2 linked regions of the Tribolium castaneum genome follow. The protein of the gene in region 1 interacts with the protein of each later gene in a pairwise test. Links are inferred from orthologs where the notes say so. Each region holds a gene or a part of one and is shown on either strand. Other genes may lie near its edges.

Region 1 (3,820 bases):
AGTTTTTTCCTTCATATGTTTTTATTAAAAACTTAAGTATTATTTAATTTCCAAAACTTTTTATTCGATTGACGAATATCTTCAGAATTGTTTTAATAATATTTTGTCTATGTAATACTTATGTAAATCCAAATTAATTAAATTGGAGGTCTGTAAAATACTTTGTTGGTGTTATTAACACAAATAAAATATATTCTGTTCTATTCTATTCTTTTATTCCACCTCGTGGTTTAAAAATCCATTCGTGAAATAAAGCGTCCGATTTACAGTCCAACTCGTTGGATAAATAACTACTATTACTTTATTTTATTTTCTTCTTTTCTTGATTTTTTCCTTAAAATTTTGAATTTCTTGTACTTAGCAGAAAAAAAGAAGAGTATACACTATCAAAAACAGTAAACAAAAATGTGGATTTTTTGACAAGTGACCCATAACAAAAATATAAATTTTGAAGGTTACTTTGTTCAGTCTAAAGATTCAAATTTACACGTAAAAAGTTAGGACTTGTTTGGTTTTATTATAGTTTTATAATAAAAAAAATTCGAATTTGACAAAATCGAAGTCTTGTGATGGGGGCTATTCAGGTACATTTTTCCACTTTTATGACAGTGTTGAGTGGAGTGCTCTATGAAATTTGGGTGAAAGCGGGCGGATGGACAGGTGTTCCACATAGCCAGCACCAGGTCCGTTTCTACCTGTAGCTCTTTTGTTCACCAACCAGCAACGAACATTGAATTTACAACTGGTCAGGTATTTCAACGACTTCTTTATGAACTCCGTAATAAAATCCTGAAATACAAGCGTAGCACTTGACCGTTGCTCATCATTTAGGAAGATTTACGTCGCTCGAGAATTTATTGTTCGTTTTATTCTATTTTATCAGTTCAAAAACACTGCATGCACAATTATTTGGACGCAAAAAGCGCTCGCATACATTCATTTTATTGTAGTATTTTTAGCATTTCCGAGGTGAGGATGTTGAACTTGGTAAATATCCAAGTCGGCATTGGACAGGGAGGTTCAAGGCCGCTAGAAATTTCTTTGTTCTCCTAATTTCAATTGTCAGGATTTGGTTTCCGGTCAGTGTGACCAACATTAGATGCAAGCACGTGCTTGAAAGCTACTTTTAATTTGGCCACTGTTCCAGAACCTGCCGCGAAGCAGAGGTCCGGAAAAGTGGCACTGCCTGCAGTGCCGTAATTAAAATGTCCCTTCGTTATCGGACGCGAGTTTAATGTAAAAGCAAAGTCGCATTAAGCTTTTTTACTAATTTGCTAATTATAAGGAGCTCGCTGGGTGGCCCCGGCGTAAATAAACCAAATTAACGCACAAGTGTGTACCGAGGCTGTTAATGCTCCTTTTATTGAGTCTATTTTAAATTTTTAACTGGGTTCGTATTTGTTGCAGGGCGGTGACGGATCCCCGCGACGGCAGGAGGGTCGCCCTGAAGAAGTTACCGAATGTGTTCGCATCGTTAGTTTCATCGAAAAGAGTGTTTAGAGAACTGAAAATGCTCTGCTTTTTCAAACACGAAAACGTAAGTGATCGCTCCATAGTTCGTCCAGATCAACACGTGTCAAGTCGGTTATCTGGAGGGTGCTCTCCTAATTAAAAGTTCACTCAACTCGCTTAATGTTTAACGAAAATTCAATCTTTTTCAGGTTCTTTCCGCCTTAGATATCCTCCAACCGCCTCACTTAGACTTCTTCCAGGAAATGTATCCTTTTTGTTAACGCACGGCGATATTACCAGTTAACCCTCGTCGGAACTGTTAACCTTTGGGGTCGAAATCATCTGAATGCTGCGTTTTTAATTTACAACTTCCGTTAGCGTTTAATTGGCTATTAAATGAGTGAATTCAGTGGTTCATTCACTAGCACACTCAAGATACATAATTTAGATTAAATGCATTATTACATGTGAGGGACAGTGGCGGCGACAAATCCACCCAAGGACACAATTTTTGCATTCAGACACCTGTTTGAGAAACATGTGCAGACTTGGGTCCCACCGTCCATTAGCCACATCCGTTCGGGACCGAAATAGACGTAAACTTTGAAATCCTCAAGGATTAGGAAAAAAGAGCGCTTGTGCGTTATTAGTTAACGTCAATCTGTCGCAGGCAGCGATAATGCCACAATTTATAATTAACGTTTCGAATTTATTTTCAACTTTACCGCTTCCGTTCCGCGAATAAATTTAAATGTGTGTTTGAAACAAGCAAACGAAGTTCAAATGACCTATTTTGTTTCGTTATCTGCCAGCTGTGTGGGGTGGCGTAACCGAGGGTGGGGTACGACCGTAGAAGGGTGTGACGTCACTGAACACGTGTGGAACATCGAGTTCGACTTGTTGTTTTTCTCTCGTGTCGGATAACTAACTGAATTTTTTTGGGCTTGGCAGTTATTGCGAATTATTTCACTGTTTGATTTTCGTGGGATGAGGAAGTCTTTGAGGGTAGGATAGCTATTGTAGAGCCCTTTTTGTGCCACTCCGCCCTAAAGTATTGTTAAAACCGGCTCGGAGTCTACCCTAGAAGCGGGTTTGCACGAGGGCGGCGGCATTATCTCCTGGGCTTGCTTGTGTACTGAGATAAAAATTCCAATTATCAATTTCTATGAAATTCTAAACGCACAAAGGCTGGTTCAAGTAATTTCACGATATAATAATAATGTAAAAAATGGCTTCAAATATGTACAAGGTGATTCAGTTAAAGACGACGAAAGGCTGCTTTTTAGTGTCACTGTCAAATGTAATTAACTGTTACAAAGTCCTTCAGTTTTCAATATTTGAACAGAACAAACTACGGTGCAATCTCAGCTAAATCACCCATTACATCAGATTTTTTAAACTAATCATTTATTTCGTTTTGTTTTTTTTTGATAAGTTCTTTACTACGATTATTACTGCCGTCTGTAGTAACTTATTAGTTGTAAATAAAAAAATGAGTACAGAGTGACTTTATAATTATAGACAAACTTGCCTATAATACCAGGTGAGGCAACCTTATCGCGCACCCAAGAAAATCGCGATTTCTAAGTAAATAAAAAAAATATTACAAGCCTAAGTATACTTTCGAAAAGGTAATTTTTGGCAATTTTTTACTTACAGATAAAGATAATAATTAAAAAAAATAAAAAAGAAATTATTAATAAATAAAAATTAAAAAAAAATCAGCCAAAATCACACAGAAACTGAACTTCTTCTTGTTCTTGCTTTATTTTATTTTCGTTTATTTTTTGTGTTTAGGTGTTATACTAAGTGTGTTCATGCTAATAATACAAAAAAATATATAAAAAACAATTGCCGTTTATAAAATATGTCACGCACAACAAGATAAAGCCCTTTATGTTTAATTTTCAATATTTTATTTGCTTTTAATTTTTTTTTTGTTATTATCCTTCTAAAAGTTTCTACTTTCTAAAACAGGAAACAAATCGTCGGTTTTCATTAAAAAAATTAAGAATGACGTTACAACTCAAAAACGAACGATGTGAACATTATTTAAATGTAACATTTAAAAAAATAAAATCGACCTGTTCGAGCTTTTTTTTTTGGAAAATGACTTAGTAACAAAGCTGTGTATGAAATTTGTGCGTTATTTTTGGTTCAATCTGTAATTTTTCGGCACGCAAATTTAAAAAAAAATACTACGCTTCCTTATTTATACACATAAAGAGAAAAATAAAGTATTTAACAGCAAACGCTGATTTTGTGCGAATCAACCTTATATTCAGTATTTTTTTCAGCAACAACTATATCAAATAAAGAGTGACATGAAAGACTTCTAAATATTTTCGAAAAGTTTACGAGCTGTTTC
Region 2 (4,351 bases), on another chromosome or scaffold:
TCCAGTTGTCTTCCATTTTTCCGTTTCTCGATAACTCTAATAGTTTCGCCATAATTGGCGGTTGAAAATTGAAAAAAAGTGAAAATGGAAACCTTTTTTTGCGTTTTTCTCAGAAACTGTAAGACTTAAAGCAACAAACAAAAAACCATCTGATAGCGCTTAATTTTGTCTTTTTTTTCGACCAAACCCGGAGCCGCTCCGGGCAACGGTTTCGGCTACAGAAACGATCAAAGTTTTTCACTAAAAAAATTCATTAAAAAAAAACTAAAAGTCGTAGAGCATTGCGGTTTGTTCCATTGAATTCTACGGCTCATTTTACATATTATATCAATTTTTCACAAGAATAAAAAATTTAAAATTTTTTGCCTAAATTTAGGGTATCCATTTGTCATAGTGAAAAATTTTTTTCATTAAAAAAATTCATAAAAAAAAAACTAAAAGTCGTAGAGCAGTGCGGTTTGTTCCATTGAATTCTACGGCTCATTTTACATATTATATCAATTTTTTACAAGAATTAAAAATTTAAAATTTTTTGCCTAAATTTAGGCTAGCCATTTGTCATAGTGAAAAATTTTTTTCAATAAAAAAATTCATAACTCGAAAACTAAAAGTCGTAGAGCAGTGCGGTTTGTCCCATTGGATTCAGCGGCTTTTTTTCTTTATTAAACTAATTTTTCACGCAATTTAAAATTTTCAATTTTTTTGCTCAAATTTCCTGAGTAATACAAGACTCACCTTCAAAGAGGTGAAAAAAATTTTTTTTTTTTAACTAACTCCAGAAAATTTTTATGGACTTCTACATGTCTTAACAACCCACAAAAGCTGTTAAAAGTCCACAAAAAGTCCATATGTTCAATTTTTTGATGTTTGAGTTTTTCAATTTTCGTCGCAGTTTTTGTCGGTTTTGGGTACCCGGAACATTTCTCGAGCAATAGCTCCGGAACTATTAGAGATAACCCCATGAAGTGTATTATCGTTGGAAAGCTCTTTAAATTATCTATTTTTTTCAAAAAAGATTATTGTTCTTCGACTAATAGTTTTCGAGGAAATTGCTGATAAATGCAAAAATTGGTAAAATTTAAAAAAATTCATAACTAAAAAACTATTGGGAATTTGGTAATTTTTTTGATGCCAATCGATTCCCCGGATCATTTTGCATGGGTATGGATTAAAACAGTTCCACTTTTTGGAATGCAGAAATTAAATGCTGTTAAGTTTTAATTTGTAATAGAAACACATTAGAATGGTCAGGAGATGTTTTACAAATGTGATATGCAGGTCAGCGTAACAGCTTATTGATGTTTTTCTAATGATTTATTTTGATAATTTTCCTGGTGTGAACTTGGCTGTAGAAAGCTAGCTCCATGCGCGGAGCGATTGTCTGGTCGACTGTAATTTTCATTGTGTCAGCACCATTTCTGTTGCTATCTTCACCAACATTGACGCTGTCAATTGGATATAAAGTCAACTGTGGTATTGTTGGTTGCCTGGCTTGTAATAATTCTTTGACTGGAATTCATTCAAATCTTGGGAATTTTATCAGCCGTGACGATTGTGTGATAAATGACGATCCGTTATATCATTACTTGTGTCATAACGTGATTTTTTGTTTGATTTACCGGTTGATAAGACTTGACGTTGTCGATTCACGGCGGCGCCGTCAAAAACGTGATCAGCACGTCACAGTCACAGATTTTCGACGTGAAAGTCTTTTAAATGACCTAGACGAGACAAAACCAGAGTAAGTCGCCCTCTACTCTCAGGAGAACACGAAAATCAATTGATATTATCACGTTTTTAATTTATTATAACAGAAGATGTTGCGCACGTTTGTTGTACGAAGTGAGTTAGCGAAAGGCGCTCTCAGAAAAGTTGTCCGGTCGAATATTGTCAGAACTCTGACTGTAGAATGCACAAAAAGGCGGAATAACCACAGGTAAGGAGATACCTTGATTGCGACAAAATTTTTACATAATCAGATTAATCTATTTTTATTAAACGAGTTTACATAATCATAACCTCACTTCGTCGGCCCCATCACATGTAACGTTGTGCAAATCGCAGATCGCTTCTCCTGAGAGAAAACAGGGCGCTGCAATGGCACGGCCCTTCGGTGAACCCCCTCCGGCGTTACGCAACCGAATACCCCCCTCACACCAAAGTCCTCCTCCCGGCCCTGTCCCCGACCATGGAGCTGGGGACCATCGTCAGCTGGGACAAGAAGGAGGGCGACCGCTTGAACGAAGGCGACCTCTTGGCCGAAATCGAGACTGACAAAGCCACCATGGGCTTCGAGACCCCCGAGGAGGGCTACCTTGCGAAAATCCTCGTCCCGGCGGGCACCAAAGACGTCCCCATCGGCAAACTAGTCTGTATTATTGTGGAAAATGAGGCCGACGTGGCCGCGTTCAAAGACTTCAAGGTCAGTCGATTTTCCAAATATTTGACCACTTTGTTTACCAATGATAACAGGACGATGGCGCCGCCGCCGCGCCCCCCAAGCCAGCGGCGACCCCGGCGCCGGAGGCCCCCGCCGCCGCGCCGACGCCGCCCCCGGTGCCCGCCTCCCCCGTGCCACCGCCCGCGGCAAGCGACCGTGTCTACGTCAGTCCAATGGCCAAGCGATTAGCCGAGCAACGCAACATCCGGTTGCAGGGCAAGGGGACGGGGCTGTTTGGGTCCGTCACCTCGGCCGACCTCGAGGGGATGGCGGCCGGGGCGCCGGCGGCGGCGCCGCCGCCCCCAGGTTCAGATAATGTTCCCAGTGGGGCCCCCTATGTTGATATCCCCGTGTCGGGGATGCGCAGCACCATCGCCAAGCGGTTGGTGCAGTCCAAGCAAAACGTTCCGCACTATTATCTCACCATTGAGTGCAATGTTGATAAGTTGTTGAAGTTGAGGAGTCGGTTTAATAAGAAGTTTGAAAAGGAGGGGGTGAAGTTGAGTGTGAATGATTTTATTATTAAGGCGGTGGCGCTGGCTTGTAAGAAGGTGCCGGAGGCGAACTCGGCCTGGATGGACTCTGTTATAAGACAGTGAGTTTTTCGTTTTGTTGGTGGAAAAATTGGGTAAGTGTTTGTAGATACTCTTCAGTGGACGTGAGTGTGGCTGTGTCCACTGACCGTGGCCTGATCACCCCCATAGTCTTTGGAGCAGACGGGAAGGGTGTCCTTGATATCAATAAAATAGTTAAGTCGTTGGCGGCGAAAGCGCGCGACGGGAAGCTCCAGCCGCAGGAGTACCAAGGGGGCACTATAAGTGTCTCAAATTTGGGAATGTTTGGAGTTGATCAATTCTGTGCCATTATAAACCCGCCACAAAGCTGTATTTTAGCAGTTGGTACCACTGCCAAGCGATTAGTGCCCGACGAGTCGGAGAAAGGGTGAGAAGCTGGGGATTGAGACGTTTCAAGTGTTTATATTTGTTTTCAGATTTAAGGAATCCCAGTTCATATCGGTGACGTTGAGCAGCGATCACAGAGTCGTTGACGGGGCTGTCGGGGCGCAGTGGTTGAAGTGGTTGCGCCAGTTCTTAGAAGACCCAGAGTCGATGATTCTTTAAATTATTGAAATATTTGTTAAATTTGTCATTTTCATCATACATTTTCGTGCCGTTTTTCCGAGGTGGACGAGGTGTTGCCTGCTGGTGTAGAGAAGAAATCTTCCATCTGTATATTTTTGCATTTACGATAAGTTTTATAGCGGATCTTGCACCACAGGTCTAGTTCGAGGGGCTGGTAATCATCCACATTGTGTTATCACGAACACTTTCATTGCTGATGTTTATATAAAAAGTTGTAATTTTTGTTGAGCAAGTGTATTTATGTATTTAAGTATAAATAAACTAATTGTACATAGGATTGTTTTATTAATATTCCTGAAATAAATCCCAACAAAAAATACACAAACAATAAGCCATGCTGGTTGGTGTCGAACTCCAAGAAAAGACTTTTTTAATTAAAAAAGCCGCTAAAAATTGCTAATTTTGAAAAAGGACTTCGGACCAGGATCACATGAACGCAAAGAGGTAAAAAATGTAAAGACCTCCTTGCGTTCCTATGATCCTAATACACATTCGATTTTAAATTTTTGCAAAATTTTTAAACGTACTTCGGACCAGGATCACAGAAATGGGAAGAGGTCAAAAATATAAAGACCTCCTCGCGTTCCTGTGATCCTAATACACATTTTTATTTTAAATTTTTGCAAAATTTTTAAACGGACTTCGGACCAGGATCACAGGAACGCAAAGAGGTAAAAAATGTAAAGACCTCCTTGCGTTCATATGATCCTAATTCATATTTTTATTTTAAATTTTTGCAAAATTTTAAAATGGACTTCGGACCAGGATC

The links.
Region 2: the proteins of nmo (region 1) and muc interact in a two-hybrid assay, tested with the Caenorhabditis elegans proteins (2 studies listed by BioGRID, with this or other methods). The link is inferred for Tribolium castaneum from reciprocal best matches to the Caenorhabditis elegans genes lit-1 and dlat-1.

Annotation. Positions count from the first base shown.
Region 1 is NC_087395.1:23,213,923-23,217,742, forward strand, and holds part of nmo (serine/threonine-protein kinase NLK), read left to right. Parts: intron 1-1,407; coding exon 1,408-1,537; intron 1,538-1,661; coding exon 1,662-1,717; intron 1,718-3,820. UniProt on the Caenorhabditis elegans protein: Has a role in the Wnt signaling pathway controlling the asymmetry of cell divisions during embryogenesis. Operates in the AB and EMS cell lineages influencing cell specification.
Region 2 is NC_087399.1:3,915,498-3,919,848, forward strand, and holds muc (dihydrolipoyllysine-residue acetyltransferase component of pyruvate dehydrogenase complex, mitochondrial), read left to right. Parts: upstream 1-1,523; 5' UTR 1,524-1,741; intron 1,742-1,814; 5' UTR 1,815-1,817; coding exon 1,818-1,936; intron 1,937-2,064; coding exon 2,065-2,422; intron 2,423-2,472; coding exon 2,473-3,035; intron 3,036-3,082; coding exon 3,083-3,382; intron 3,383-3,431; coding exon 3,432-3,561; 3' UTR 3,562-3,857; downstream 3,858-4,351. UniProt on the Caenorhabditis elegans protein: The pyruvate dehydrogenase complex catalyzes the overall conversion of pyruvate to acetyl-CoA and CO(2).